Linked DNA regions of Oryzias latipes. The main gene of each other region encodes a partner of the protein of the gene in region 6 in a complex. Links are inferred from orthologs where the notes say so. Each region holds a gene or a part of one and is shown on either strand. Other genes may lie near its edges.

The links.
Region 1: lsm2 (region 6) and lsm5 share a complex: the UniProt entries of both Homo sapiens proteins name them as parts of the precatalytic spliceosome. The link is inferred for Oryzias latipes from reciprocal best matches to the Homo sapiens genes LSM2 and LSM5.
Region 2: lsm2 (region 6) and prpf8 share a complex: the UniProt entries of both Homo sapiens proteins name them as parts of the U4/U6-U5 tri-snRNP complex. The link is inferred for Oryzias latipes from reciprocal best matches to the Homo sapiens genes LSM2 and PRPF8.
Region 3: lsm2 (region 6) and lsm7 share a complex: the UniProt entries of both Homo sapiens proteins name them as parts of the precatalytic spliceosome. The link is inferred for Oryzias latipes from reciprocal best matches to the Homo sapiens genes LSM2 and LSM7.
Region 4: lsm2 (region 6) and txnl4a share a complex: the UniProt entries of both Homo sapiens proteins name them as parts of the precatalytic spliceosome. The link is inferred for Oryzias latipes from reciprocal best matches to the Homo sapiens genes LSM2 and TXNL4A.
Region 5: lsm2 (region 6) and prpf6 share a complex: the UniProt entries of both Homo sapiens proteins name them as parts of the U4/U6-U5 tri-snRNP complex. The link is inferred for Oryzias latipes from reciprocal best matches to the Homo sapiens genes LSM2 and PRPF6.
Region 7: lsm2 (region 6) and ppih share a complex: the UniProt entries of both Homo sapiens proteins name them as parts of the U4/U6-U5 tri-snRNP complex. The link is inferred for Oryzias latipes from reciprocal best matches to the Homo sapiens genes LSM2 and PPIH.

Annotation. Positions count from the first base shown.
Region 1 is NC_019878.2:23,646,933-23,650,465, reverse strand, and holds lsm5 (U6 snRNA-associated Sm-like protein LSm5), read left to right. Parts: upstream 1-1,506; 5' UTR 1,507-1,579; coding exon 1,580-1,625; intron 1,626-1,686; exon of another isoform or gene 1,687-1,701; coding exon of another isoform or gene 1,702-1,741; intron 1,742-2,190; coding exon 2,191-2,286; intron 2,287-2,366; coding exon 2,367-2,394; intron 2,395-2,462; coding exon 2,463-2,535; intron 2,536-2,611; coding exon 2,612-2,644; 3' UTR 2,645-2,827; downstream 2,828-3,533. Other genes in the region: psme2 (proteasome activator complex subunit 2), read right to left, coding at 2,986-3,066, 3,367-3,453. UniProt on the Homo sapiens protein: Plays a role in pre-mRNA splicing as component of the U4/U6-U5 tri-snRNP complex that is involved in spliceosome assembly, and as component of the precatalytic spliceosome (spliceosome B complex).
Region 2 is NC_019871.2:16,927,122-16,930,521, forward strand, and holds the end of prpf8 (pre-mRNA-processing-splicing factor 8), read left to right. Parts: coding exon 1-174; intron 175-304; coding exon 305-544; intron 545-673; coding exon 674-815; intron 816-901; coding exon 902-1,042; intron 1,043-1,126; coding exon 1,127-1,266; intron 1,267-1,452; coding exon 1,453-1,655; intron 1,656-1,844; coding exon 1,845-1,999; 3' UTR 2,000-2,435; downstream 2,436-3,400. Other genes in the region: RILP-like protein 1, read left to right, coding at 2,832-3,155. UniProt on the Homo sapiens protein: Plays a role in pre-mRNA splicing as core component of precatalytic, catalytic and postcatalytic spliceosomal complexes, both of the predominant U2-type spliceosome and the minor U12-type spliceosome.
Region 3 is NC_019862.2:8,272,390-8,276,930, forward strand, and holds lsm7 (U6 snRNA-associated Sm-like protein LSm7), read right to left. Parts: upstream 3,094-4,541; 5' UTR 2,987-3,093; coding exon 2,981-2,986; intron 2,748-2,980; coding exon 2,657-2,747; intron 2,562-2,656; coding exon 2,490-2,561; intron 858-2,489; coding exon 715-857; 3' UTR 446-714; downstream 1-445. Other genes in the region: kelch-like protein 24, read left to right, coding at 3,384-4,293, 4,420-4,541. UniProt on the Homo sapiens protein: Plays a role in pre-mRNA splicing as component of the U4/U6-U5 tri-snRNP complex that is involved in spliceosome assembly, and as component of the precatalytic spliceosome (spliceosome B complex).
Region 4 is NC_019869.2:14,391,245-14,395,831, forward strand, and holds txnl4a (thioredoxin-like protein 4A), read left to right. Parts: upstream 1-1,635; 5' UTR 1,636-1,782; intron 1,783-1,975; 5' UTR 1,976-1,981; coding exon 1,982-2,134; intron 2,135-3,415; coding exon 3,416-3,519; intron 3,520-3,600; coding exon 3,601-3,772; 3' UTR 3,773-3,963; downstream 3,964-4,587. Other genes in the region: E3 ubiquitin-protein ligase znrf2, read left to right, coding at 34-91. UniProt on the Homo sapiens protein: Plays a role in pre-mRNA splicing as component of the U5 snRNP and U4/U6-U5 tri-snRNP complexes that are involved in spliceosome assembly, and as component of the precatalytic spliceosome (spliceosome B complex).
Region 5 is NC_019865.2:15,467,430-15,472,134, reverse strand, and holds the start of prpf6 (pre-mRNA-processing factor 6), read left to right. Parts: upstream 1-1,631; 5' UTR 1,632-1,681; coding exon 1,682-1,869; intron 1,870-2,300; coding exon 2,301-2,463; intron 2,464-2,547; coding exon 2,548-2,666; intron 2,667-2,777; coding exon 2,778-2,856; intron 2,857-4,409; coding exon 4,410-4,586; intron 4,587-4,705. UniProt on the Homo sapiens protein: Involved in pre-mRNA splicing as component of the U4/U6-U5 tri-snRNP complex, one of the building blocks of the spliceosome.
Region 6 is NC_019862.2:27,136,485-27,141,176, forward strand, and holds lsm2 (U6 snRNA-associated Sm-like protein LSm2), read left to right. Parts: upstream 1-1,509; 5' UTR 1,510-1,627; coding exon 1,628-1,630; intron 1,631-1,815; coding exon 1,816-1,883; intron 1,884-3,002; coding exon 3,003-3,033; intron 3,034-3,119; coding exon 3,120-3,179; intron 3,180-4,081; coding exon 4,082-4,207; 3' UTR 4,208-4,536; downstream 4,537-4,692. UniProt on the Homo sapiens protein: Plays a role in pre-mRNA splicing as component of the U4/U6-U5 tri-snRNP complex that is involved in spliceosome assembly, and as component of the precatalytic spliceosome (spliceosome B complex).
Region 7 is NC_019865.2:7,775,913-7,780,489, reverse strand, and holds the start of ppih (peptidyl-prolyl cis-trans isomerase H), read right to left. Parts: upstream 2,977-4,577; 5' UTR 2,868-2,976; coding exon 2,802-2,867; intron 1-2,801. UniProt on the Homo sapiens protein: PPIase that catalyzes the cis-trans isomerization of proline imidic peptide bonds in oligopeptides and may therefore assist protein folding. Participates in pre-mRNA splicing.

The DNA.
Region 1 (3,533 bases), on a different chromosome or scaffold from region 6:
CCCAATAATAGAAAAAAAACACACACAAAGGAAAGTGAATCAGTGGCTCTCCAAAGATTGATCTTTAAGAGGAAGGATTTTGAGATAAGATAAGATAAGATAAAGCTTTATTGTCATTGTACAATCACACTTGGTACAACAGTACAACGAAATTGCAAACTGTCCCACATTGGTGCAAAGAGAAAGAAGAAAACAACAATTATCTTTTACACACAAAAAAGTATAAAAAATAAATAGATACATATATAAATATATACTGCAACTTCCAGCTTTTTCTGCCACAATTGACACAAAAATGGATGTGAGATTGTGGAAGGCTGGGCATGCTTTTACATTTCAACATGTTGACGAGCCTTTTCTGCTCTCTCCCATAAATACTCCTGTGGAGAAAATATGTCTGTCCGTTATCCCAGAAGAAACATTATTTCAAATTAACATTGCATCTCTACCTCAGAGCATGTCTTATTGGAATATGTTTGCTGATGATATTGCATGGAAGGAGGTTTGGCAAACCCCTAATAAACGCTTGATCACCAATTAAGTAAAATAAGCTACTTTTAGGATTATCCACAGAATTTACCCAGATACAATTTTCATTCAAAAAAGATTAGATGAAACATTGATACATCTGTAGTTTTTGCTGCAATTCCCCTGAAACAGACATCCATCTTTTCTGGAATTGTCCTCAAGTTAAAGTGCTTTGGTAGAAGATTTGTGATTTCATACATGACAAAATTGATTCTTGTTTTGTTTTATTCTGGAAACATGTTTTGTTGGATCTTATATCAAAGGATACACAAAAGGACTCTGGTTGGCTTTTAAATCTCTTGCTCATGTTGGCCAAACAAAAAAAAAACAGTTACAACTTTTTTTAAATTGGTGGGTTTTTATATTATGTTCAGACCCCATTTTCTTTGTCTTTCACTTTTTTTTTAACTTTATTGACAATTGAGGTATCATACATTAAATAACGAACAATAACCATGTAATCAACATTACCTTGAAGATCAATCACCATTGCCAAACATAACATATTAACAAAAAAATAAAGAATAGAGAAAAACAAAAAAACAATGAACATAACACACAAATAAATAAAAACGAATAAGTAAAATAAAAATAAAATAAAAGAACATAGATCCAATCTAAATAGTCTAATACTAGTTAGGGGTACTCGTGAAGTTTGTATTTCTGAACAAAACAAAGCAATTTCAAGTCATTCTTCTTTTTCATATAATGAAGTGATTTGAAGTAAAAAACAGAGCTCTTTATGAAATGTTATAAAAAGTGTTTTGGTCTTCAAATATTTATTTTTGTGTATATAAAACTTTCCTTGCAACATCTGGATATTAAGAACACCAAATAGAAATTTTTCTGCGTGTAAATGAACTGGCATTGCAATTTTGGAAGAATACCAAAAGCAGAATTCCTCCCAGAATGTTTTTATAACTCCTTTGTCTTACACCTAAACAAACGTTGCTGTTCAAATAAATACTCCACGTTCGATTGCTTTTGCCTGCTGGACTGCGCTCATTTGTCGATTGGTCGGGCCTGTGCGGAAGCGTGTTCGTCAGTAAACATGGCAGCCACCCAGGGCACGAACCCGTCCCAGCTGCTCCCACTCGGTCCGTAAGCTTTAAATTAAGCCCGTTTTCTATCCGGGGTCTGACGGGGATTCACGCAAAACTCCGGGAAGTGTTCATGCGGGGGTCAGAGCCGGGGCCGCTGCGTGGTTTGAACGGTCTGACAATGGCGGGCAGGAGTTAGCAGCTAATTGTTCGTTAGCATCGAAACGCTCATGCTGTTAAAACTACGTTAAAGAATGACACTTTTTAAGTCTTTGGGTGTTTGTCTGATTGTAATATATTTAATTCATCGATTAATATGGTCCTGCCGTAAAGGGTTCGTAGTTGACGCGCTTTTTGAATTGCATAGCAATGCTGCAGCTAGCCGCTCCTTGCGACCGTGTTGCTAATTAGCCCAAAAGGAAACGTTTTCACCTCGTCATTCATTATCATTAATATTATTAGGATGTACTACTCTTAAGAGATGGTTTTCCTTATGTTGGATGCCTTGCGTAAACTTTATTTTAAACAAAAAGTTAAGTTACAGACACCTGTTAAAATATAAAATCAGTGTGGTTTGTAGACTGCATGCATGAAACTGAAATAACTGTTCTTCTTTCTTCAGAGCTTGTGGACAAATGCATCGGCTCTCGAATTCACATCGTCATGAAAACAGACAAAGAAATCGTCGGAACCTTGTTAGGTTTTGATGATTTTGTCAGTATCCTTCATCGATATTTTGGTATCAGTGTTGTGCTGTTTCCCTGTTTGGCCCACAGCCGCTCCTTAACTCTGTGTCAGACATGGTGCTGGAGGATGTGACAGAATTGTAAGTATCTTGTTTTCTTTTTTTTTGTGTACTTGGGGCTTGCTGTTGATGTGTTTTTGTTTTTCCAGTGAAATCACACCGGAAGGCAGGAGGATAACAAAGCTGGATCAGATCCTCCTGAATGGAAACAACATCACCATGGTGAGAAAGCAGTCGGTGGGAAGGATGGGGGGGGTGTCGCTGACCGGATCTCTCATCAGAATGGTTCTCTTTGCAGCTCATCCCAGGTGGAGAAGGCCCAGACGTGTAGATGTCAAGTTTTCTAAATGTACATACATCTTTGGTTGTTCTGGATTGATGTTAGTTTGCGGATTTCTCTTACTGGACATTTTGTTTTTAATATTTTTTAGTTTTGATTCTTTAAGGTTTGAATGAATCACGTCAAGGACAGAAAAGCTCTTTTTGTTATAAATAAACCAGATGATTAAACACAGTTTGATTTACAAGTTTATTATTCATAGGTTCACTTTAGTGCAATTTTCTTTCCTGTTTTTAAAAAGTGTTGGCATCCAACAGCAGTAATAACAGCTCACGGTTCATGAAGTCTAAATCTAAAGTTGCGCTCCTCCAAAACGGCGTACCGCTGCCGCCTCAGTACATGGAGGATTTCTCCTCTCCTTTTGGGTTGGTCACCTTTTCCAGGTTTTTGTTGATGATGTCGTACAGCTCGGCCTGAGGAAGTGAGAAGCTTGTTTGAATGAAAAGGTAATACACTTTAGCTATAAAACACCCCTAAAAACACATTTTCTTATATAAAACTAGGAATTTAACCTTTTTTTTGGTTAAAACCTTAAATACTTTCATTAAAATCCTACATCTGAGTGGAGGAAGATTTAAAAAGAACTTGTTTTAATCCAAGTAACTTCTTTTTTTTGTAAACCAAACAATTTATGCTACAAGAATCTCCAACTAAAAGTGAGCAAAAGTGTCTGGAATCCAAAGCATTTAGCGGCTGGAGCTTTGTCGTCTTACGTAGAAGCCGCGGATGTCGAGGAGGATCACCCTGAGGTCAGAGAAGAGCGCTCTGTCCTTCTCATGAACCAGTGAGCGGTAGTCCATCTGAGGGCAACACAACGACAGTTAAAGGTGTTTCAGGACGTCCGAGCCCATTGGCTACTGGGACATGATTGACAGAAGTC
Region 2 (3,400 bases), on a different chromosome or scaffold from region 6:
GATCCTCAGAGCACTCCATGTCAACAACGACCGCGCTAAAGTCATTCTGAAGCCCGACAAAACGACCATCACTGAGCCCCATCACATCTGGCCCACACTCACTGATGAAGAGTGGATCAAGGTGGAAGTGCAACTCAAAGATCTCATCTTGGCTGATTATGGCAAAAAGAACAAGTGAGTGTTAAGTGACTGCTGCTCAGCCACTGGTTTGAGTATTTTCAGAAATGATTTTTTTTTTAAACTCATGAGCAGATTAAAGATGGATTTATGTTCTGTAGTAAGATCTGCTTTTGACTCTGTTCAGTGTGAACGTGGCTTCTCTGACCCAGTCTGAGATCCGTGACATCATCTTGGGTATGGAGATCTCTGCTCCATCACAACAGCGCCAGCAAATCGCTGAGATCGAGAAGCAGACCAAAGAGCAGTCACAGCTCACAGCCACGCAGACTCGCACTGTCAACAAGCATGGAGATGAAATAATCACCTCCACCACCTCAAACTATGAGACCCAGACCTTCTCCTCCAAAACTGAGTGGAGAGTCCGGTATGCACCATTAAACCTGCTGATTTGATCCAGTTTTATTCCCATTTAAAGGCTTACCTCATTATAAAATATATTAGAAATACAAACAATGTTGTCATTTGATCTCTATACTTTTTTGTTTTCCATCAGGGCTATATCTGCTGCAAACCTCCATCTCCGAACCAACCACATCTATGTGTCGTCTGACGACATCAAGGAGACTGGTTACACCTACATTCTGCCCAAAAATGTTCTCAAGAAGTTCATCTGCATCTCAGATCTCCGAGCGCAGGTCTTTATTTGCTGACACAACTTGGCTTGTGTTATATCAAAGCACTTACTCTTACTAATGCTGACCATGTCCTGTGTTGGTTTAAGATTGCTGGCTACTTGTATGGCACCAGCCCACCAGACAACCCCCAAGTGAAGGAGATCCGATGCATCGTCATGGTACCTCAGTGGGGAACCCATCAGACTGTCCACCTTCCCAACCAGCTGCCCGGTCATGAATACCTAAAGGTATGACTTGTTCACTGGATTATTGGGGGGGTTCTTTTTGATGTTTGAATCAGCTGGGTTGGTAACATGCTCTTGAATGAACAGGAAATGGAGCCCCTCGGGTGGATCCACACACAGCCTAACGAGTCGCCTCAGTTGTCCCCTCAAGATGTGACGACCCATGCCAAGATCATGGCCGACAACCCGTCTTGGGATGGAGAAAAGACCATCATCATTACTTGCAGGTGAGTTACCTTTCTGTTCTTTTTTTTTCCTGTTTACACTGGAGGAAAATCTGTCATTTTTCCATAAATCTGGAAAATAATGCTATATGTATTGCGGGGGGGAAGGTGATTTCCTTCAAATGAAAATGCCTCCCATCTCATTTTAATCAGAAAAGTGATGGTTTTCTGTGCCTTACTTGTTTTCAGCTTCACACCGGGGTCCTGCACGCTTACAGCATACAAGTTAACACCCAGTGGATATGAGTGGGGTCGCCAGAACACAGACAAAGGCAACAACCCCAAAGGTTATCTGCCGTCTCACTATGAACGAGTGCAGATGCTGCTCTCTGACCGATTCCTGGGCTTCTTCATGGTGCCTGGCCAAGTGTCCTGGAACTACAACTTCATGGGTCTGTAGCTTCAATATTTATTCATGTTTGAATTAAATGTTTAACGTTTATGAATTAATTTGACCATGACATTGCCTCAGCTTTCTTCCATTGATTTTACATCAGATTTCTACATACATTTATTCTTTTGGTTATTATGGCTAAACTCCGCCTGTTGATGAAACTTAAAGGCCTCATATTGTATTACAGGTGTGCGCCACGATCCGAACATGAAGTACGACCTGCAGCTGGCTAACCCCAAAGAGTTCTACCACGAAGTCCATCGACCGTCACACTTTTTAAACTTTGCCTCGCTGCAGGAGGGGGAGATCTACAATGCTGACCGGGAGGACATGTACGGTTGAGCGTCGCCGCCCCGTCCCAGATTCGTTTTTTTTATGGTTTCTGACCGAATCATGTAAATCAGTTCAGTCTGCCGGTTTTCTGTCAATATATTTCACTGATGTTCGGGTAGGTTTTATGTAAAGCTGTTAGGACCTTTTTTAGGATTCCTTTCATTCGAGTTTTTTTTCCATGACTGCTTTGTCCTTATAAAAAAAAAAAAGTTTGGTTATCTTTTTTTTTTTTTGTCCTAGTTTCTAGAATTTCATCTTGAATGCATTTATTTTTAGAACTCTGTAATGTGTTTGACATCAATTCAGAGAAACACTCTTCCCCTTCTGCTTTTTGGAACTAAAAGTGAAAGTGGCATTTCCATGTTCTGGTGTTCTATTATACTACACGTCTGTGACATTGTGAGCCTGGTTTAAAATAAAGATTCATTTTTATAAACTCTTTAAACATTGTGATATTGTGTTTTATTGTTGTAAGTGCAATTGTGTTGTGAACAGTTGGCTTTAGTTTTGGTGTTTTACCAAGATCATTAGTGACGTTCTGCCTGCAGAAATGGCTTAAGCTGTAGTGACGGTGTCTCGTCTCGTCTCGGCGCGCTGCATCACTGAGCTTTCAGGCCGCGTTGGTCTGGAGCGGAGGAGGATCTAGCTTCGCTATTTTCTCTCAGTGGAGTGCAACATGACCGGCTTCATGTTTGCATGGGAGAAGGTGGAAGTTCAGATATGTCATGCGCGGTAGGTCGGGCACCGACAACCTCCGTAGTTTTCATTTTCTGTGGCAGCAAATAAGCCACCGTCGCTTTCAGTAACACTCGACGAAGGAAGCGAGCCGCGCGGCTCAGACATGGAGTCCTACCCGGAGAGCAGAGACACGAGCCAGAGCTACTTTAACAAGACTGTCGCCTTGCTGACAGTCAACGATGTTTATGAAATCGCCAAACTCATCGGGGCCGAGGTGGAGAGGCTTATCGATGGATACGGTAAAGAGAGCGTCGAGGGTTTGGTGCCAAAAATAGTGAAAGTGCTGGAGCTGCTGGAGAGCTTCGCTTCCAGGAACCACGCTCACATTCAGCGGGAAGAAGAGCTGCTGAAGACCCTCGAGAGCATTCAGATCCAGCAGCAGAAGAAAAAGAAAGACGGCGACGAGGGCCTTGATAAAGAAATACATGTAAGTTGCTTGAATTTAGGTAATATTGTAAACATTGCAATTAACAGTCAACGTAACTGTTAACAGTGAGGCGGCGTTGTGCGCGCGCGCGTGCCTAAACGTTACAACACGTAGTAGCTTTAAGCTACAACTTTGACAAACACTGAAGTTACTAAACACAGAAGTTTTCTTTTTTAAACCACTAAAAATTATAATGTTGCACATATTAAGAATAGGAACTGCATGCTTTTGAAACTATAATGGTA
Region 3 (4,541 bases), about 19 Mb from region 6:
GTCCAGGAGCTCCAGGTAAACAGGTGAGTGCCTCACCTGACCAAAGATCTTAAAGAGCTCTAGGAGGATCCGCCGAGTTCTTCCATCAGGGTCCCAAAACCCACAATAAAACTAAGGTACAATTTATCCATGAAAACTAGACATTAAACGCCACATTTTTTTCTGCAGAATTTGATTTATTTTAACTTATTATTGCAAAAATTCTCCATCATTTAGAAAAACAATGTAAACATGGGTGTTAAGCACAGTATCCCCACTCTGCTTACAGCATTTCTAATTTAAAGTCGTTAATGCCGCAGATTTCTCCCTGTGTGCCTAAGCTTTCCCATTCCAAACACAAAAACTCCCTTCAAACTGACAAAAGCTCACTCAGGGTGTGAAAAGGAAGATGTGATCCAGCTCAGATCACTGCAAGGAGCGACTGCACCCAAAGATAAAAACAAACTCCAGCATAGGTTTTCCTTTTATTTTTCTTATCAAAAACAAACAGTAAAAAGCTCACGTTGTTCCTGCATAAAAATGAAAAGGTTTGCACTTCCGTAGCACATGAGCTCTTTAGAACAGAGGTTCCAACGTCTGGACACCACAAACAAAAGGGAAGTGCATTCAAAAGTCATTTTTACTGCTGATTCTCCAGCTTTCTTCCATTAGGTTGGTTAAAACAAAAACAACAAAAATAGAAACAAAACAAAGGTCTAACACTTCATGGGCGATTTAGCCGTCTTGCTGCTGTATGAAGGGGTTGGGTATGGCCTCCATGCCGTCCTGAGGACAGATCAGGACGACGGAGGTTCCTCTGCAGACCACCAGCCCCAGCTGCCTGGTGTCTTCTGTCAGCTTCAGCTGGTCGTCTGGATCTGCACACAGACACACAAAGGGATTGTAAATGCCAGAGGATGTTCATCTTTATGTTGCAGTTTTTGTACATTTAAAGAGATTTTTATTGCCGTCAGTAAATGTGACAAATGCTTAACAGAACAAGAGTCCACAGTTGATCCGATACTAGAGGAAAACAATATTACAATGCAAAGAGTTATTAGTTCAAACACAAAAACATTTTTTTCTAGCTAGTGGACTCTTAATGTTAAGGAAATGCTTCAGAATATGATAATGACCTATTAGAACCTATGCAAATGGGAGATAAAAACTTTGGTTTACGGAAAAACACGCCAAGTTTTTAATCGTTATTAAACGCGAGTTTGATGAATTATTATTATAGTTTTTAACTGGAGATCAATACAATTAATTTACTTAGTTTGAAGAGTGAAGGTGAAATTCTTACTGAAAGAAAAGTTACAATATTTAGAAAGGAGAATTAGAAGAAAAAACATTCTTACAAAAAACAGTTTTTCGCCATGGCGATCAAAGTAGCTCCAACTGCTCTTTGTGACATTTTAATGCAGCCAAATTATATATACGTTTAAAATGTGTTTACTTTATTAATCATTGTTAATCCGGCATTAGAGAGTGGGCTAGTGTTAATTTTCTCTCGACTTTAATGTGTCTTCATCATGAATGCTCATCATAGTAAGAAATAATGAGGTCATGTTATGTATTTGGAAAACAAAAGTCCATCTTGTTGATGGTTTTTCTGAAAAATATGAATAACCTTCTTTATGAATCTTTAGAGACATGATGCAGACATGATGCATTCATGATGACAAACAGGACATTTTTTCAAGATGGGGAATTGTGATTAGAAAACGCAGTTCAAAGTTTGATTAAAAACAAAACATTAAGTCCTAAAATACCTGTCTTAGACTACAGCACAATAAATCAATGTTTATTGAAAAAGTTCAGTCTCATTTTAATTTCCAATTTAACTTTTTTCAATTTTTATTAAAGCTTTAGTTTTTAAGAAATACACACTTTTGTAGAACTGATGAATTAAATTAACGCTGATGTTTTTCACACTTATTTACGAGTAAAAACTGCACAAGAACAGATGGAAATTCACGTATTAAGTTCAGCAAAGATGCATTTATCAGAGTCATTAGTGGTTTTACCCAACCCTAACCATTCCTCCAGGTCTGTGAGGCCAAGAAAGAAGTTCTGCACCGGCTCTACGTATTTAGAAAATTATGTGGGAATAGTCACTTTCATAAATTGAAGAAAAATAGAACTTTAAATACAAAAAATTGTAAATATTATAAAGGCGAACAGATTGGCTTCTCCTGTCTGAGAAGGCACGAGAAAATCGTTTAAAAAAAAAAAAGAAAATCTTGCGGCTTTGATGAGTAAATATTACATTTTTTAAATGGAGATCAATACAATTGATTTACTTAAAAAAACAGTTTGAAGAGTGAAGCTGATATTCTAACTGAAAGAAGAGTTACAGTATTTTTGGAAATGAAAAAGAATTAGAAAGTTTGAACCTCACAGCCTGAGTCCACATAACAGTATCAGTAAACCATGGACTAAATAACTCCTAACTACTTAATTATTAGTTCTCCATTAAGAAAAGTGGGTACACGTGAGTTTTCACTTACCACGCATGTACTCAATTGTACCGTCCAACACCAGGTTCAATAGAGGATCGAACCCTTTTAGAACTCCGCTGGCTAAAGAGGGAATAAACAAAGTAAATAATTATATTCTGACATCACTGTGAATATTCTGGTCACCACAAGTTACAATCTTTCGACAAGCCACCTACCCTCCCGTCCTCCTTGAAACTTCACACGAATTGGCTTGTCGATGTATTTGGACAAGTCAAAGATGCTCTCCTTCTTTTTCTTTTCTTTATCCTGTAAAGAAATGTCAGTTTCCAAGATTAATGCACAGTTTAAGGCGCAGACCCTTAGCCTAGCATTAGCTTAGCATCACTGACTAAGGCAGTAACAATTTCACAAATAAAACGGCCGTTACTTCAGAAATGTTATTCTCATTTCCTCAAGTATTCTATTACTGACTAACACCAAATAGAAAATGTTCGGTGAACAATAAGAGAGAAAATTAAACGAAATTATTTCGCACTCACCGCCATGTTTGAAGTGTGACCCGGAAGTTAAACTTTGACCCCAGATACAATTTAATAGCACCAATCACATCGCCGTAAACTCGCATCTGACGTCATCTGAAGTTATTTGCACTCAAAAAATAAAATAAAAAAATGTTCTTAGCTTTAGTTTTACTAAATAATTGTATTTTAATAGTAATTTTTAAAAAAACTTTTACTTTTCAAAGTTGACCTCTTTCTTAACTGCATTCTCCGGGCAGGGGCGTCTATTAATAAACAAAGTACACACCAGCTGGTGTGTTGGGAACCTACCGTAGTTGTGATCCAGAAACAGGACAAAGCAGTAGACTTGTTTTACTCTTTACAGTGACTGAAGTGAAGTTTCAGAGCTTCAATCAATCTTTTCCATGAGTTAGATAACACAATGGACGAAGATGGATATGCTTTTCATGTGGAAGACCCTGGGCCGGATTTTATTCCAGATGCTGTCCTACGGGTAGAGGAGGAGAACTTTTACGTCTGTCGGGAGCACCTGGCCCTTCAGAGTCCATACTTCAGAGCTCTGTTCTTTGGCTGTGGTGTGGAAAGCCGCAAAAAGCTTGTTGAGATCAAAGGTGTGGGTCGACAGTCTTTCAAAGTTTTGATAGAGTACAGCAAGACTCGCCGTCTGACTTTGGACCATGAAAATGTTCTTGGGATTCTTGAGACTGCAAACTATCTACAACTAGAAAAAGCCAGACTGCTGTGTTGCAAGTTCTTGGAGCGCGAGCTACACCTCACGAATTGTTTAGGAATGATGGCCTATGCATGGCAACTGGGCTGCTCTCAGCTTTATTCTGCAGCCCGGCAGGTTGTGCTCACACACTTCCCTGCGGTCTCAGCTGAAGAGGATTTTCTGTCCCTTTCCAAGGAAAGTATTGCTGATCTACTTGCCAGTGATGATCTGGCTCTCCACAAAGACGATGTGGCGCTTGAAGCCACCCTGCGCTGGGTTTCGTTTGATCCTAAACGAGAAGAACATTTTTTAGAGCTAATAGAGCTGGTGAGACCAGAGTCTCTCTCCTTAGCATTTATTACCCAACTTCTGACCAGAATGAAAGGTTCTGACCCTCGAGCAAGGCTCATCAGCAAGCTGAATGATCACTTCCCAGCCTCTTGGTCAGTAGGCAGGTCTTTGAGGCGGACCAAAGCTACAGAGACTCTCTATGTCCTGGGAGGGCCTCATGATCAGGAACAGCAGGCACTGTATCAGTTCCACCCTCTGAGCGGTAGATGGCAGTGCTGTGCACCTTTGCAGCAGAAGAATCTAACTCAGTACTCAGTAGCTGCAGTAGGTAATATCCAATTAAGATTAAAGAGAATGCTTTTCTTGAAATCTCAAATGTGAAATAAATGTATAAATTATATTACATTATAAATGTATAAAATAAATGTAAATTTAAGGTGTATTTTCCATTTAGGAAACAACGTGGTTGTGACTGGAGGCCACTTCAGAGATGTGCTGTGGTTCAGTGTGGACTGGGTGAAGATATACGAATGTTCAAATCAGCGCTGGGTGGATGGGCCGGCCCTGCAGAAATCC
Region 4 (4,587 bases), on a different chromosome or scaffold from region 6:
TTGTTTACCGGTAGTATATCTTTTATGTTTCAGGTGCATAGATGAATGGTTTGAGGTGAACCGCTCATGTCCGGAACATCCTGCTGACTAGATGCTGCAAAACTTCACCTTTAATCTTCGACACATTGAAGCCAACTTTGTGCCCTGTTTGGATCCTAACACTGTTCCAGCTGAGCATCAGCGTTCCTCAGGGATTATTAAAGACTTTTTTTGTATTCCCTCACAGAGAAGCAGTGAACTTTGGAGATATTTCTGCGTGGACTGTGACTTTCAAAGAAACAAAGGTGGAGTTGTTTGTCTTCATGACAAACGTGAATGTTCCTCAAGCCGCCTTTTGGCCTCAAAAGGATGCAACCTTGAGTCTGATCCAAAATGTTATGAAGACCTGGGTGTTTTGCAGAGGAGTTGTAAATCTTAAAATGGTGAAAGGGGGTTTGAGCGCTATGTGACTGCTGAGAGACTTGACCAGACGGCTGATTTTGTGCAATATGAAAAACAGCCAAAACAAATTTAAAACAGTCTTTATCAGCTTTAAAGAGTGAATGCAGTGTTTGACGATAGTCCGGAAGCTGACTATCACTGTTGTTTGTAAAACAATCATGTGTCCTACATAAGATCGTGTAACATAGTTGGATTTTATGAATCATGTGTCCATTTAAAACCACAGAGATGTGACTGTGTAGCTTAAAGGGGAAATTAAAATGATGTATCTAATGATAATTGAACTCTCTTTAGGAGTGCCATAATGTGCTGCTATGTTAAAGACTGGAAAGTTTTCCTATAACCTTTGAACTGTGTTCGTTCTTTCTGTTTGTACTGTAATGAATTGCACAATAAATTTTTTATCTGTGTTTTTTCCTGCTTAAAACCGTTTCCTGTATCTCTGCCTACTTTCAAACGGAAGTAACACTCGTTTCAAGGAGCAACAAGAGAATAAAACATTGAAAATACAAAGGTAAATCATTATTGGGGGTTTTGATTTTACAAGTTATTTTTTTGCGTCAAAATCGTTTTTACTTACTGAATCTTAATGAACTATACTGTGCAGCTACTTGTCTTTTGAAAATTGTGCAAGCAGTAGTCCATAAACATTTGTTTTTCACTTGTGGTGCATGTACACATGCATCCCTAACAGGAAGCTATTATTTCTACCCATAAAAGGTTAGAGGAACAAGGGCATCCAAAAATTGATCATATGGGATGATTTTTCTTTTGGGGTTTTAATTACATTAAACGTGAAAATGCTTTGTCTATCAATTCTTCCTTGAAAATGTGGCAACGTAGAATAAATCTTATTCATCCTACAAAGAGGGGAAAAATGATCTACATAAAGAAATATATAAGGGGTGATGTTGTGTTAAGAAGTATACATTTTTCTACTTTCCTTTATCTTTCCGAATGTAGTGTTTCATTTTCTTGTTAAATTTGACATTTTAACCTAAATCTTTCTTTTAATAACTGGTTTCGCATAGCCTGCTTTCGATTTAAAGCCTTCCATGTAGTTTTTATTAAATTGTTCACTTTTGTCAACATCAGTTAAAGTAATACTAGATTTGTCATAAAATAGGACAAAAAGGAACAAAAAATAATACGTTTTCTCTGAATAGGTTTGTGGGATGTTGACGTAGACATTTTGCGACGACGTCGCGAGTTTGTGACGTTGTTAGGAACGAGCTCTAGATGCTGAAGATAGATTTTTTTTTCTTTATTGAGAGAACAAAGTAATTTTATCTAAGCAGAAATCTAATTTTATTTCATTATACTTAGTTTTGCTAATTCAAGGTAAGGTTCTTTCGTTCATGTTTGTGGTTCCGCATCTTCTAAAGTTTCGCTGTCATGATTTCTAGATTTTTCTTCAGCTAGCTTAGCATTAGCATTCATCAACCTCCTCTTCTCCGCGGTTATTTAACACTTTAAGATAACATTATCATTCAGAATTTTGGGTCGGGGGCGGTCTCGGATTCTCCATCTTTAGGTCAAGATGTCGTACATGCTACCGCATCTCCATAACGGCTGGCAGGTGGACCAGGCCATTCTGTCTGAGGAAGACCGAGTTCTGGTGATCCGCTTCGGACACGACTGGGACCCAACGTGTATGAAGATGGATGAAGTTCTTTATAGTATCGCTGAAAAGGTTTGATCAGCTTCTTATGTGCACCATAATTTCTATGGAAAAATAAAAGGGCTCGTCTGGTTACAGTATTAAAAGGGAAAATTATTTGCACCTTCCTTTGGTCCCCAAATCCCCCTGCTTTTGACTGTTAACAAGTTTGATAATAAATGCATAACATGAGAAAATATTCAATGGGTAAGGAAAGCTTAGCAGTTAGAGAAAACAGTTTGAATGTCTGCAGTCATCCTTTAAAGATTTCATTTAAGGATTTAACCCTCTTCTCTGGTTAGTTGCTGAAAGAAGGATCATACCTGAAGATTTAACTGAATCACAGGTTACAGTAAGACGACGGCAGTTTGTGACAAACCCCACTGCACCAACATACATAGGGTTTACAGAGAAATGGCGTTTTGGAGAAACATTCATACGAAAAACATCACCACAACAGCCAAAAAGCTCCAGATAAAACAGGAATTTCCTGATTCTTAATTGACGAATCGATTTCTTTTCCTATGAACCTACCAGATCCATCTGTCTGAGGCAAGTAGCTCATCAAATCAGCCTCTACCATTTTAAAATACTTTCAAAAGGAGATAAATCGATAATAGAATTGAAATTGGAAAATACAATTAGGATTGAGACATGGTAGGTTTATTTTACTGTAATGTAATAACGACCAATTGCATCACGGTGGACAACACACATGTGAGGTCAGCAAAAACTGATCAACCATCATAACAGTCCAATGTGTGGAAACAATATGAATTTAGCAAAGACGTGACCAGACAGTGTGGTAGAATGTTGTAATATTGTTCCCTTAGGATTCTTTGGATGTGGAAAAACAACAGTGGACTGAACTTTAGGAAACTAAAATGTGAATGGATTTGACTTTCATTCTGGTTTACTTGTTTGTTTGTACACATATTAATTTAAACTTGATTATCTTGAAGAAATATAAGGAATCTGGAAAACGTCACCTGTACTGTTCAGTATCCAGGTATTCATCTCTGAGTCACACTGGTTGAAGTTTTGGATAAAGATGTTCTGGATCGATCTTAGGCCAGAGAATCAGATCGTTCAAAATAAACAAATATCGATTATGAATCTGATCAGCAGCCACAAATTATGATATGAATTGAATCGTTAAAATGAAGTTTTAGTTTTTAATGTTCCTCTAAATCTTATTGACTGTTTTGGAGATTAATTTCTGTTCCTTAACCTTCATTAAAGTCACAGCTTTGGTTTCAGCAATCAAAGTCCAGATCCTTGTTGTTCTAGTAACCGCCACCTTTGTCTTCTCAGGTGAAGAACTTTGCAGTCATTTACCTGGTAGACATCACAGAAGTGCCCGACTTTAACAAGATGTACGAGTTGTACGATCCTTGCACCGTCATGTTCTTCTTCAGGTGAGGAACCCTCATCACTGGAACACAGGTCCTCATATCATATATGATGTCCAACGCTCCTGCCTTTGGTTTGTTTTCCAGGAACAAACACATCATGATTGACTTGGGAACTGGAAACAACAACAAGATCAACTGGCCCATGGAGGACAAACAGGAGATGATTGACATTGTAGAAACGGTGTATCGAGGAGCCAGAAAAGGACGGGGTCTGGTTGTTTCTCCCAAGGATTATTCTACTAAATACAGATACTGATTCTCACTTTTTTTAAACCATTTTTTACCCTTTTTGTGTATTTTTGTTTTGTTGATGACAAACAGAAGAAACTCTGCTTTTCCAGCAAAGGAGGACGATATTCCAGCTACTGGTCTCATTGTTTTCTCATCAGTTTTATTCAGTTTTGAAGCTTGTTTGAATTTTTGTGAATAAAAGTGTCAACAATCTTACGTTTGATTATTAAAATAAACTTGACTTTCATGTAAATATATTTAGGAAATTTTCTCAAATGTTTGAGTTTGTTTTGAAACTTTACAGCATTAAATCATTTTGCTATGGCAGTTAAAGACGTCACAGGAAGTGCAGTGACTCACAGCGGCTGTTGATACTTACTAGAGATTATGTCTAAATCAAATCAACTTCCAGTTTTGTTTTTTTGGGTGCACTTGCCAGAGTTGTCCGGTAGGTGGCATCATAGCAGTTCCACGTATGCACCAGTCTCCAGCATCACATGCAAATGCTCCTTCCTGCCGTGGCCTGGGGCAGTATTGGGACACGGCCCATCAAACAGACTTATGTGACACTTTTGTGTTGCTATAGAGATCATCTGTGGAACAAAGAACAGGAAATGACCTTAAAAGAACTTTATTTCATGATAGGACTTTTCCCCAAAAAACGGGGATCTTTGTGCTGTCAAACTAATTACAAATAGTCTGAATTAGAAACGAATGAATTAGATATCAGTTGTTGGAAGGCTTAATTTCGAGGAACTTTGTTTAACTATTTTCTGTGAAAACTGAGATGTTCTCATTTAGGATGATTGATTTCAACACAAAAATACAGTGACTGAAGTT
Region 5 (4,705 bases), on a different chromosome or scaffold from region 6:
GTATGCATGGATTTCAGTAATAATATTTGATACCTCATCCCAACAGGAAGTTGACAGTGGTATAACAGAAAAGTATTGAGTCAGCGTGCTCACAGAGGACAGAACCACCTTTTATTAGAAAGCGGTCTTCTCTATTTTTGCATTGCTAATTGTCAAGTCTGTGCAAGCCATATTTATTTGCCCTTTCTGATGACAAGAATTGTGCATAAAGTGAAATCTTTTATTGTAACTAAAAAAGAAATAAAATGTCTGTTGAAAAAATAAAAGTGTAATGTAGCATTCTGTTGATTTTTAACACAAATATTTAATACAAGAGGGACTTTCTATTAGAATAGCAAGATGGCAGCATCTCTTGCTAAAAGGCCTTAATTTATAATAGATTTTTCTTTGAATTTGTTGAAATAGTCAAGCTAATGTGTATCAACGCACCTCTATTACTCTGCAAATGCTCATTCTTGGTCTGAGGGCTGAAAGCAACAGTCAAAGGCAGCTGAAGCAGGATTTATGAATCCCAAATGGCAAGGCGTGCAGTTTGATTTGTAAGGCACAAACAAATGCTGAAACAAATTGACAACATCATCACGAAATCAGTTTTTGGAAAAGTCAAGGCAAACCACAAGTAAAACAGTAATAATTCTTCAGATAAAACAGATTCTCCACATCCATGCGTGGATTTTCTCTATCTTTCTCCCTCAGTCCAAAACATGCTTCATAGGTTAATCGATTACTTAATTTGCCCCTAGATGTGCGAGTGAGTGTGGCCCTGCAACAGAGTGGCCTTCGCCCAGAAGTGGCTGGGTTGGCACCAAAATGGATTCTGTGGGTTCAGAAAATTGATGGATGGATGGATGGATGAATGGATGGATGGAATAAACAATTCATGCAACATCCAAGTTGTTAATCTCAATTAAGATTTAATAAGCTTTCAGATTTTATACAATATTCATGTGACATTAGAGTTTCCAATCCCAATTAAGATTTATTAGGATTTCATATTTAATAAACCACAAATTGTGTTTTTTCTTGGACTCAGTTTGATCTTCTCTTGTCTGGTTCATTCTTTTGTAGCTTCTCAGATTTGCAAAGTTTTATCTTGGTATTTGTTGATGTAAAAACAAACCAATATTCCACATTAACTACATTTGATAATTAAATCAACACCCCATTTTACTGTTTGTTTGTTTTTTACGATTCTCAATTGATATCATTATTCTAAAATTTAAACTTCTAGTCCATATACTTTGAAATTTCACTTTGCAAGCTGTGATGTTTGACTGACTTTCTCGAACTCTAAAGACGAACCATTTCCATTTAACAAAATATTTCATTTTAGTGTTTTTACAGAACACTTGTGCAGCACTCCATCCTAAATTGAAAACTTCCGCCCCCTTGTGGCAATCATAAACAAAACTTACAATTTAGAAAAACATAATCAATAATTCGATAAAACATTCAAAGGTCAATGATCACAGAACTGTAAAATAAACGTATTATACAGACACCAGAAAATAATTTAAAAAATGTAAAAGTTATTTTTTGAATGTATTAGTAACGAGCCTGACCTATAGAGGGCGCTGTTACAAAAAAGGAGCGGATATTTCTAGAACGGCAGTGTTTTGATGGGAACGGAAGTCTTTCTGTTGTTCATCCGCCAGTAATCCACCTCGTCGTGTGAGCAACGATGGCTACCTCTGGGGCTAAACAAGGCACCAAAATTGTGTCCAAAACATCAGCGGGAGGCGCCGGGGCTACGGCAGCCAGCGGCGGGGCTCCCATAATACCCCTGGCCTCCCCGCTCATGGGGAAAAAGAAGAAGCCGTTCCTGGGCATGCCCGCTCCGCTGGGATATGTGCCTGGTCTCGGCAGAGGGTAAGCTAACCGATGCTAGTAGTAGCAAATTGTAGCTTTGCGTGCAACCAGGCAGCCGGTTGTTTTGGTTAAGTGTTGTTGTTTCTATAACCCTGTCATTGTTGTAACAATAAAATATTATGTGATGTAAAGCTACTGTGGCACTATTTTTCAAATTTTCATCGGAAAGAATACATTTTTGGGTGCCAGCATAAGAATCTTGTTACTCAGGAGGCAGATTTTTACTTTTGCACCGCACTACTAGCTAGGCTAGCCACACAGATTTGGTTTTTGACGTGAATTATACAGGCCAGTGTCATAAATAATAAAAAAAAAAATCAGCATTACTAAAGGTATTTTGCAATGTATTTGTACCTTTATTTATTTTTCAATTAGCTCATTCCTTCTACAGTGTCCAATTCTGTAACGTTTGAATGGAAATTCCCTTCTAGTGCCACTGGATTCACCACCCGGTCTGACATTGGTCCTGCTCGAGATGCCAATGACCCAGTGGATGACAGACATGCTCCCCCAGGGAAAAGAACCGTGGGAGACCAAATGAAAAAGAATCAGGAGGAGGATGAGGAAGATCTGAATGACACCAACTACGATGAGGTTCATCTATGGATTGTTTGACAGCGACTTTGCGACTGTGCTGTTTCTCTAAACACCATTGCTGTCGTTTTGTTTGTTTTGTAGTTTAATGGTTATGCGGGTAGCTTGTTCTCTAGCGGGCCTTATGAAAAAGATGACGAGGAGGCAGATGCTATATACGCAGCCCTGGACAAGAGGATGGACGAAAGACGCAAAGAAAGAAGGTTTCTCTCAAAATTCCTCCAGCTTTCCATGTGCCATTTGTGCATTTTTATTCTACACTGTTAAAAGTTAAGACTGTGTTCTGGGGTTGAATGTTGTCTTTGCTTTTGCAGAGAGCTAAGAGAAAAGGAAGAAATTGAAAAGTATCGTATGGAGAGGCCTAAAATCCAGCAACAGTTTTCCGATCTGAAGGTACAACACTTGCACATCAAATCATTGTTGTTTTTAAAAAAAACTTTTGATCAAATGAAAGTTCTCAGTTGACATTGACAATAAGCTTTTTTAATTTATCATTAAATTCATTAGCTTTGTCTAAAGACATATAATACTTTTAAATTATGCTTAAGCCATAAAAATTAGCTCAGTTACTTCAACAAGTTAAACAGAGCCAGTGGTGGAATTTATTGTGAAAGACACTTATTTAAATCAGATAATAAGGATTTCTATTTTGCCAACATCTATTTACTGGGGTTTTTGCCTTCTAAGGTTTGTGTTGTGTGAGCTAAAGTAAAACAAATGTTACATCAGTGTTGAAACTGTTCTGTTCGATTTTAAACTGTTGCCAAGAATGCAAAGACATGGGTTTAGTGTAATAGTTGATATTTTGATATTTCTTTCCTGATGCTGTAACTTGGCTAGAGTAGAGAGAGAGAGGGATCTTTCCAAAAGTTGAGATATGTATGCCAATACCGGGAACCCAAATGTAGTATTGGTTTCTAAATATTGCCTTTTTTTAAATGAAAATGAAGAAATTATGTTTAGCAAAAATGCATAAATTTGGATCTCAAAAACATTTTTCCGTGTTTAAATCTTTTCACATACATATCTGTCCCTTAAACCACTAAACAAAAAAAAACAAGCATTAAAGGAACAATATGTTATCAAAACAACATATCAGTTCACTCAGTATGACTTTGTAAATGCGAGGCTTGCTAAAGATAACCTGAATCAAACATGCTGCACTCAAGTAGCCCACTGACACCGACTAAATGATTCATGGGTCACTTGAGGGCCGCACAGATGGAATCCACTACTTACATTATTTCCAGATTATTTACTATCTGGTTCTACACATTTTACTTTAGAATACTACTGGATTCTCTCCACTTGATTGATATCCGTAACTCAGTCTTGATTGATGTCAAACAGTCTTTGACTTCAAAGAAAAAGAAACTTGCATTGAATAAACAAAACCAGGAGTTCTACTCAAAATACGGATTTCTTATGGCAGGTTGTTCCCATGCACTAAGACAATTTGCTAAATAATCAGCGATCAGCTCAAACGTTATGAACTGCACTTAACTAACTGAGCTTTCCATCTGCTATATGTGGATGCTGCTGATAAGAGTTGCATACACACTGGATTCCTGTGCATTATTACATTTTGAAGATACACGTTTTAGTGCTGGTTGTGTCATAGTATTCTGTTGCATTTATCCATCACACCTTAAAAGACGGTCTTGTTCAATTCAATCAATGGCTAAAAAGAATCAAACTCAATCCTAAACAATAATCTACAGTAGTTTTTTGTCATTTATTTTTTCTTTATATTGGCTGGAAGTGATGGTGCTTTTGACAATGATTTCATTTTTGTGAATGTTGTAAACTGAAGCTATGTCTCCCAGTGTGCTGTAGTAGGTGTGCTATGTTAGTCATTTGTGTTCTGATATTGTAATAATTAGACTTTATTTTAATAATTCATACATATTTTCCAATTCTCTTTTTGTTTTCCTCTGCCTTTTTAGAGAAAGTTGGCCGAAGTGTCAGAGGAGGAGTGGTTGAGCATCCCTGAAGTTGGAGATGCAAGAAACAAGCGTCAAAGGAACCCTCGCCATGAAAAACTCACACCTGTCCCTGATAGCTTCTTCTCCAAGCACCTGCAGAGCGGAGAGAACCACTCCTCTGTCGACCCTTTGCAAGGAGTCAGTAAATACGCGCACACGCACAAGATCCAACTAGAAGCACTGAAAACCATGCATCATGCTGCAGTCCCAGTTTAGTCCAGCAGGGGTCAGGAAACTTCACCTAAAACAGTCTTAGC
Region 6 (4,692 bases):
TTTGTGCCTTTTTGGTCATTTTTCCTGCATGTTCAGCCGCCAAATTTGAGGTGGTTTACAGAAGAGAAAGTAAGAATAATAATAACTATATTTTTTTGTGATTCCGATGTGTTTCCTGTGTGTGCTCGGATGATATTAACAGTTTCGTTGTGACTTCAAGGGTCAAGTGACAACATTTATTCATTCTGTAAAGTCTTTTTAGAATAGGGTTAGTTTTACATGATAGTCTATAGAGAAACTCTGTTTTTGCTTTTAATGATCCACTTATCTACCTATCCATCCTCAGAACCCACTGAATCCTTTAACTGAGCAACTGTTGAGTAAAGTTAGTGGACCACTACGTCACTGTGCAGCCCTATATTTGATGAAAATGAATTAAGTTAACAGTTGCAGAAAGACTCACTCTATCAAGTATGTATCTTGTAATAAAAGAATTTCCAAAACATAGGAAAATTCATAAAAGGAGTAAATGGTCCAGAGTTATCTCACCTGTTTGTTTTTTATCCTGAACTAGAGTCCACTGAGACACCGTCCACTCCACAGTTTAAGCACATTTAGTGGAATTTACCCGTGTCAACAACAGAAGACCCAGGAGCAACGTCTTAACTTTCTCAAAAACAAAACAAAAGAACTTTTGAATTAATAATTATTTTAAAGATAAAACTGTGTACATTCAGTTGTGATTCGTTGCTATAGAGTTTTCTGTTTCAGATCAAGTTCGTAAACCATGATGAGTAAAGAAGCTGAAAAGATTTGTTAAAACATCTGAGTGCTCGACACTGCCCCCGTGTGGTCTTTCATCAGAATACAGAAAGAACTCTTGAAACAAAACGGTCACAATTGTGTTCATTTTCTGATTTTTATTGCATCAAACTGTAGATAAAATCAGAAAGACATTGGAGAAGAAACAGAATAAAACTCCAAATGGCACTGGAGACCAAAGGTTCTTTAAATTAGAAGACGTAAACAATAAATATATCCAGTTTTCATACAGAAAACTTTCAGCATTAAAGCATGAAAAGCATGCTTTCCTTTGACCAGTATAGAAAAACACAATTTCTTTACAAAGATTAATATCGTTATTAATATAGTTTAGGTTCTATGTTTTTATTACGACCCTACGTTTTTTTTTTGTTTTTTTTTGGTGGCCCTAAAACTCCGTCGTAATTTATAAAAGAACATTGAGGAACAAACTTAATCCTGATTAAAAACTCTTGCAGCAAATTATAGACATTTCAGGTTTGTGTTTGTGTGTGTTTTTAAATCACAGTAAAGGTCTGCATACTACAAAAAAATAAAGTTTTGAGGTACAAAAAGTATCACAAACATGTCTGGTAGCTAGACTAGAAGCTAGACTAAATCTGAATTAGACTTTTGATATTTTATTCAATTTTTTAAGAGATGGCTCATAATGTTTTTTATGTCTTTTTTTTTTAAAGAAATATGAGTGAAAGCCTAAATTTAAATCTCGGTCAATGAAAAACACCTGATAGTTCCTTAATAAACATTGAACGACAGTGTGTCTCCCTCTAGTGGCGCAAAGTGGTACTCACTCACCGCTGAAACACGGCGCAGGCTGATACGTCATCAACAGCAGCCAAACCTTCTGTAGAACACCACAGCCAAAATGGTAAGGCGTAAATCGTCATTTTAAAATGTACTTTTTTAGTTTAAGTCAAACATTTTAGGTTTCTGAGTGTCAGAATTCTTCTGAATTTCTTTTGTTTTGTCGCTGAGTTTGCTCGCAGTGTGCTGAGCCGCTTTGTCGGCCCATCATCGTGCTAACATCGTCTTTTTTTTAAAAAAAATCTACAGCTTTTCTACTCGTTTTTCAAGTCTTTGGTTGGGAAGGACGTGGTGGTGGAGCTGAAAAACGACCTCAGGTTGGTTTTGATAACTCAACATACCAATTTGTTTGGTAATGTTTCTTTTCAAAGCGCCGTTTGTGGTTAAAAATGGCGCGTGGTTCTGCTAGCGCTGTTTGAATGGGTGCAGTGAAGAGCTACTTAGCATTGACAGAGACATTGACTCTGTCAGAGTTGCTGTCTTTCCTTCTAGCTGGTGTTTTGCATCTCATGCTGGTCACAGTGGCGTGGGGTTGCCATCCCTTCCTTCCAGCATTTGTTGCAAATCTGGCTCAATAGGTTGGTGCCAGCAGCGTGAAAAATGTACTTTTTTTCCTGTTAGTTTTCTGAGCTAACTCTTGGTCTGCAAACGTGCTGCAAATTCATTTTAGACCTTTTTCCCGAAGAAGTAGGGTCAATTGCGGGGGTGGGGGTGGGGGGTCAATCAAACTAGCTGCATCTCATGATGAAAGCTCAAAAGTAAATATTAAAATTAGCTTACAGTTAGTTGTTGGGCATTCTTTAAAGACGTAACTCATAATTCTTAGCTCCTCTCACAGATGGACGATACTTAGACATGTGGTACTTTTTTTAAAAACCCATCCAAATGAAAAAAGTGGTTTTGATGCCATAAGCTCCCTGCTCTGCTCCATTCTGATGCATCCACTTGCAGGCAAATAGATTTGTCCGTCTTTGTTTTCCTGGTCTGAGCTGGCACAAATAACTGTACGGCTGGATTGCTCCAATATTACTTTTTTTTTCTTTTTTGTTGCACACCTAATGTTGGGTTAAGGGGGGGGGGTTGTAAGTTAGCAAAGGATGATGGGAAGATGGGGCAGGCTTGCTCTGCACCAACGATCTCAGACAAATTTCTAGTGAACAACTGCTGCTCTGCAGAAACTGTCCTAGAAAACGACGCAGGTTTTTTTTTTATTTTTGGCTAAAAACAGCACATTTAAAGACCACTAGGAGCGCTTTAAAAAGATAAGAGTGGGATATAAGAAAAAACAGACTTTCCTGCAGCATTGACAATAGAAATAAATTTACTGAACAAAAACTTTGACTTGTTCAATACAAATTTGCATATTCCCAGAAAGTCATTTAACATCAAAAGTTCACTGTTGCATTGAAAGCTTCATTTTCTCTTTTTCCCCCCAGTATCTGTGGGACGCTTCATTCTGTTGATCAGGTTAGAAAATAATTAATTCTTTACTTTTTTTAATTAATCAATGTATTGGTTTGCAATTTAAAAATGTTGTTCTTGTCATCATCTAGTACCTGAACATCAAGTTGACCGACATCAGTGTGACAGACCCAGAGAAGTATCCACACATGGCAAGTCCTCATCTATGGTTTACTTTTTAGTCTAAAGTTTGCATAGAGGCCTCTAAAACATACAGTTGTTTTTATTCTTTTATTTCCTTCTGTCAGTATAACAAACATTTTTAAAGTTGTCTGCTGGGTGAGAAATGTAGAAGCACACCTTTGGAAGTTCAGTTTCAGTGTAGGGCAGAGCAGACAGCAGTTCTTCAGGTAAACAGCAAAGATTTAGAAACATTTTTCAGAGTTTCTAAACTACAATTTTTCAGAAAAACATTTAAAAATATGCAGAAGTTCTACACTCACTGCCCACTTTATTAGGCGCACCTTGCTAGTACTGGGTTGGACCCCATTTTGCCTTCAGAACTGCCTTAATCCTTGGTGGCAGAGATTCAACAAAGTTCTGGAAACATTTCTCAGAGAGTTTGGTCCATATTGACATGACAGCATCACACGGTTGCTGCAGATTTGTCGGCTGCACATCCATGATGCCAATCTCCCGTTCCACCACATCCCAAAGGTGATCTATTGGGTTGAGATCTGGTGACTGTGGAGACCATCGAGTCCAGAGAACTCATTATTAATAGATGATTTCAGCTTTGCTGCGTTCAAAATCACTTAAATCACCTTTTTTCCTCATTCTGATGCTCGGGTTGAACAGCAGCAGATCATCTTGACCATGTCTAAATGCATTGATTTGCTGTCATGTGATTGGCTGGTTGGAAATTTGTGATAACGAGCAGATGGACAGGTGTGCCTAATAAAGTGGCAGGTGAGTGTAAATGTGGTTATTTGACCCGTGAGAGTGGTGGGAAAAAGAGAAGTGTTAGCTTCTGAATCCCCTTGGATGTGTTCATTCTCTTCCTCTGGAAGGCGCCCTGCCTGACTCCGTGTCTCACGTGTTTCACGCTCTCCAGCTGTCTGTGAAAAACTGTTTCATCCGCGGCTCGGTGGTCCGGTACGTTCAGCTGCCGGCAGACGAGGTGGACACTCAGCTGCTTCAGGACGCCGCTCGGAAGGAAGCCATGCAGCAGAAGCAGTGACCGGGGCTGCGGGTTCGGGGAGGGGGGCTTTAAGTCATGGGTTCTTTATAGTTCAGTTTGAAGAAGACCGCTGTGAACCGCCTCCACACACTGCGCCGGTCGATGGAGAATTGAGTGCATTCCTGATGTTGGCGATGGGCCAACTGCAGGTCTGTGGGTTTATGGACATTTTCTTTACTTCTGAGGCGGTTTAGGATCTTTGTCTTTTGTTTCATTCCTATAGAGTTTGGCCTAAAGTGAAGCCTGCAGATGAGACTCTGCCATTTTCCAATAGCTGTAACTTTTTTGTTTTTTAATGCCATTTGGAAATAAAATAATTTATATTTGGCTGTGTTGCTCCGCCTTTTTTTGTTTTGTTTTTTCTTTTCTAAGATGCTGGGGTGTAAGCCTGCACTATAAATTGCAAATGTATCATTATCGCCAAACAATCTTATGGCACCTTGAAGGGTTTAATGAATCAAATAAATCCCTGTACGCGTTTGACC
Region 7 (4,577 bases), on a different chromosome or scaffold from region 6:
TTTACTCTGGCTCAGTGTTTAGCTTTATGCCATTTGGATTACAGTCAAGCATCAGCTAAATCAGGGGTCAGCAGCCTGCGGCTCTCTGTGGTTTTTTAAAATAACGATCATGTCTAAGATTGCCGTGTCACACCTTTCACACCGTCGGGATGTGCGAGCGGGCAGAAGAAAGACAGCAGCGTGAAGACGCGGAGGGGGCGTGTCTGCGACAGACCAGAGTCTCTTATAGGATGGAAAGTTCTTCATGTTGAATGAGGTTGAATGAGAAGTGAATAAAAGCCTCATCATGCAGAACCTCTCCGGGTCGTCTGTCGACCAGCTGTTGTATTTTTGTCACCAGGTCTGAACCAGGAACGGGTCGGAACCAGGCGAGCTGCTCGTCCCTGTAGCGGTTACCCTGTGCTAACGACTACGGTCAGCAAGCAGTCAGCAAGGTTCATAAAAATAATATAAAAAAAAAAAACAAAAAAAACTAACGGGCTGAGTATTAGGTTTCTGATTAAAGTTTGGATTACACACCTGCGTCACCGCCACGACTCCCAACAATGTTCTGGGACAACAATGGAGAATTTTGAGAAAATTGAAGTTCCTCATGATGAATGAATTATTAATATGTAATGAGGAATTAGCAAACAACAAAGTCTCAAATGTGGCAAGACATTCCAGTATAAACATGCAGCTTTTGTCTAAAAACATCCAGATCCAGATGAGAAAATAAGTTGTTTGTTGACAAAAATCTATTGGAGAAGCAGATTAACTGCTAGTTAATTACAACATATTTGCTAGTTTTGTGGCCTCTCGGGGAAATGGTTCTCATCGGAACCTATTAAATAACAGAGGATGAAAAAAAAAAGAACGCAGCGCCCCCTGCTGGTTCATCACCGCGGTGATCAAAAATCCCACACCGTCACAGCTCAATTTAGACACATATTAAAGAAGCAGCCACAAAAACACATCTACTGAAACTATCATCATTCTCTGGAGCAAGGACGCGTTGAAGGGGAAAATAAAAACATAAGGCAGGAGACACCAAATTGATGAAGCAAGGCACAAAAACACAAGTAAAAAAGGTCAGTCCAACCTGTCCATAATGATTTCTGCGGAGGCAGAATGTCTTGGGGGAGGCTGTTTTTGCCGATAAAATCAACAACAACTGCAAATGAGGCCTCATTGTTTGCTATGCTGCTTTCATTTGGGACAGTTAAAAGAAAATACCTTTGGGACCTGAGAGTTCTTGGAAGTCTGTAAGATCAACGTGCCTTATAAAAAGGAAGCACGTAAGTTTTTCAGAGTTTTTAAATGTCTTAAAAAAAAGAACATGTTTGTGGACGTAAAGGATACAGAAATGTATAAAAGAAATTAATCAAGTTATGAGTGTAACAGCCATATCAGTTGAGAATCACAGATACAAACAAGATCATGTTAAAATAGAGGTATAAAATTGATCAGGAATAATCGGTTTATCTCTGTCAATTTCTCTTCTTTTTGTGCTTTACTCTATCGGAACGTCCAGTCACAAGCTTATTTCTACCAAGTCAGGTTAATTACAGTAAGCTGAAGGTCATCAATGTATCTATGAAGCGTGTTTTTGGACTGTGGGAGGAAGGGATGCACGGGGAGAACATGCAAACTCCACACAGAGAGTTCCCAGCTAGGTCTTCTCGCCGCGAGAGCGCTAACCACTGTGCCATCGTGCAGCCCTTATGTTATATGCCAAATGAATAATAAATATCTAGATTGTTTTCCATTTAGTCATTTGTCATCCTTTTAGATTAAAAGAAATTGGACTGTACCGGAAAGTTAGTTGAATATTTTATGTATCAATTCATAGACCATGTATCGAGATGCGCATCAATTCATTTGAGACGGAAAGATATACAACCCCACTCCAGAGCAGTAAATTAAATACAAGGTACCTATCTACGGCGGGCATGGTGCAGCGTTAGGGCGGTCGACCCATGATTGTAATATTGCAGGTTTGATTCCCGCCTTGCACACCCATGAGTCAAAGTGTCCTTGGGCAAGACATTGAACCCCACCTGGCCTCTGGTGGGAGGTTGGCGCCAGTGTTCGGCAGCGGAGCCGCCATCGGTGTGTGAATGTGTGTGTGACTGGGTCTGCGACTGTAAAGTGCTTTGGGCCTTGAAGAAGGTAGCTAAGCGCTATATAAGTATACGCCATTTGCCATATTTAAAAGACAGATTGATAGATAGCAAGCAAGAAAGGGCATCGTTAGTATTATATTAAACTTTGGAAATGTGTGTTGTACTCCCTGATTACTTGATTCACCTGAATTAAGTTAAAAAAACAAAAACAAAAAAAACACAATGGATCTAGGGGAAAAAAAGCTTTGCGATATCAAAGTACAGACGGAAAGACTCTCACAGACTAAGTTAAGTAGAGAATTAAACAAGCTAGAAAATAAGCAAAAGTAAAACCAAACATGTTGTGTAGTCTTTGTTGGATCTAATGGAATGCTGTATAAACATTACTTTAAGCTTTTAAAAATATAAAAAAAATAAAACGTCGTTTGTTAAAAGAGTGTCTAAACCGGACTTTAATTTGTTAATACGACGGTGAAATTCAGACAGAGACACATGATGATTCACCACACAAAAACTACTTTTATTTATAAGGATGCATCTAATAAACAGACGCAAACCGTATCACGCGCAGTTTACATGATATTATTCTTTCTCTGTAAAGAATAACTATATATTTGAGTCGATTTTCAAGTTACCCTTAAGCCTTAGCTAACAAATTTTAGCCATTTATTCAACTTTTCTTTTAAGCTCACTTACCTGACCGCCGATGGTGATGTCGAAGAAAACGATTGGATTGTTTGGGTTTGTAGGTTGAACAGACATAGTGATATTTTATACATACAACTTATTAACTTTAAATAATAGCAATGTTGAATTCACACGCCACTCATTTGAAAACCACGCACATGCGCAGTAAGAGTCTACGGTGGCTCGCCGGAGTCAGCGAAATACTTGCGCTTTTTTCCTTCAAACTTTATTGAATGAATACAAAAAGAAGGAAAGAAAGAATGAAAATCAGTGCTATGCGCTTTTTACCATGGACTGTAAAAACAATGGACACTATGAGGACAGTTCTTCTTTGTTACTTAATAATATCCAAAACCTCAGAACTATTGATGAAGAGGAAATTAGTTATTGTGGGAGCCTTCTCACGCTTGAGGAAGTAATTTGATTTTATTTGATTTATTTTTATTTCAAGCATTAACTGTAGTCAATACTTTTTTTTTAAATCACACAGATTGACAAACTAATTACAGAAATGATGAAAGACATAGATTAAAACAAAGACTCGCTTTTGTCACATTTGCTTAAATAAATATAGTATTCATTAATGTCAAATAGAGCTTCTTGATTTATTGCTTGAAAATGAGTGGGAAGAACAAAAGCATTCATAACCCCACCCTTTAAACTTAAACTAAAAGTAATGTGAATTATTTGCAATTAAGGACTGCTCAGTAGATGTTATCTGCAGTATAATGTTAAAATTAATAGGGCCAAAATTTTTCTTAAGAACCCCACTGCTATCTGGAACATTATACCATTTACAGATTTTTTTCTCTAGTTTTGGAGGCTTTAATTTTATTTTGAATTGTAACAATAATGTTGTGAAACTCCCAGTAAAACTCTCATCTTTCCATTAGCAGGTCCTCTTAGTGTGGAACCTAATTTTCAAGTATCCTTTTTCACCACACAAATATTTCATCTGGATTAACAGATTTTTTTCATTTAAAAAAAGATCACTCCACCTGGAGACCTGGACACAGAATAGGACCCTGCTGGTGGCTCGGCTATTCAATAAGGAGGGGCAGCTGCTAAACTACAATGTGTCCTTATCGCTATATAATTTTCCTGTCAGTCTACAAGAGTCCATAAACCTTGTGCTATCCTAGGCACTTTAACATTGGGAGTTGGGTCATCTAGACCCACTAGACAGTGCGCTGAACCTTTTTTCTTCAATGATTTGTGAACCTCACTGGTGTCCATGGATTACATGAAATCTTTCCACCTTTATCCATCTTTGTCATGGTAGGGAGAACACGTCAATGCAAGGGTGGGGTCATCTAAGATAGCACAAGGGTTAATGGTGCAGAATGCCCTACCATCAGGAACATTAATGCTGTTTAAAAACACTGATAAATAAGTGACATAGTATATTTTAAATTATTGTAATCAATTTGTTCCAGGTAACAACTGGAAAGTGGTGTGGAGGATCCCTCATAAACATTTAACAATAAATAAGGTGAAAGAAGTGTCTTTTTAAATTCTCCATAAAATTTACCCTGCAAAACAATACTTGACAAAATTTGAAAAAGATATTAATACTGATTGTTTCTGTGGAGATCATTCAGAAACTGTGACACATCTTTTTGGGTATTTGCCCACCCAGACGTTTTGAAAGGAGTTCAGTAGATTTATCATTCATATCTTTAAAGATTTCTCTCTGAGATGGGAAAATGCGTTACCCTGTGTTTTCACTATTTCAAAAAGAGCATAAAATTGTTTTATTGTCTATGTACTATGCATTCATTGTAC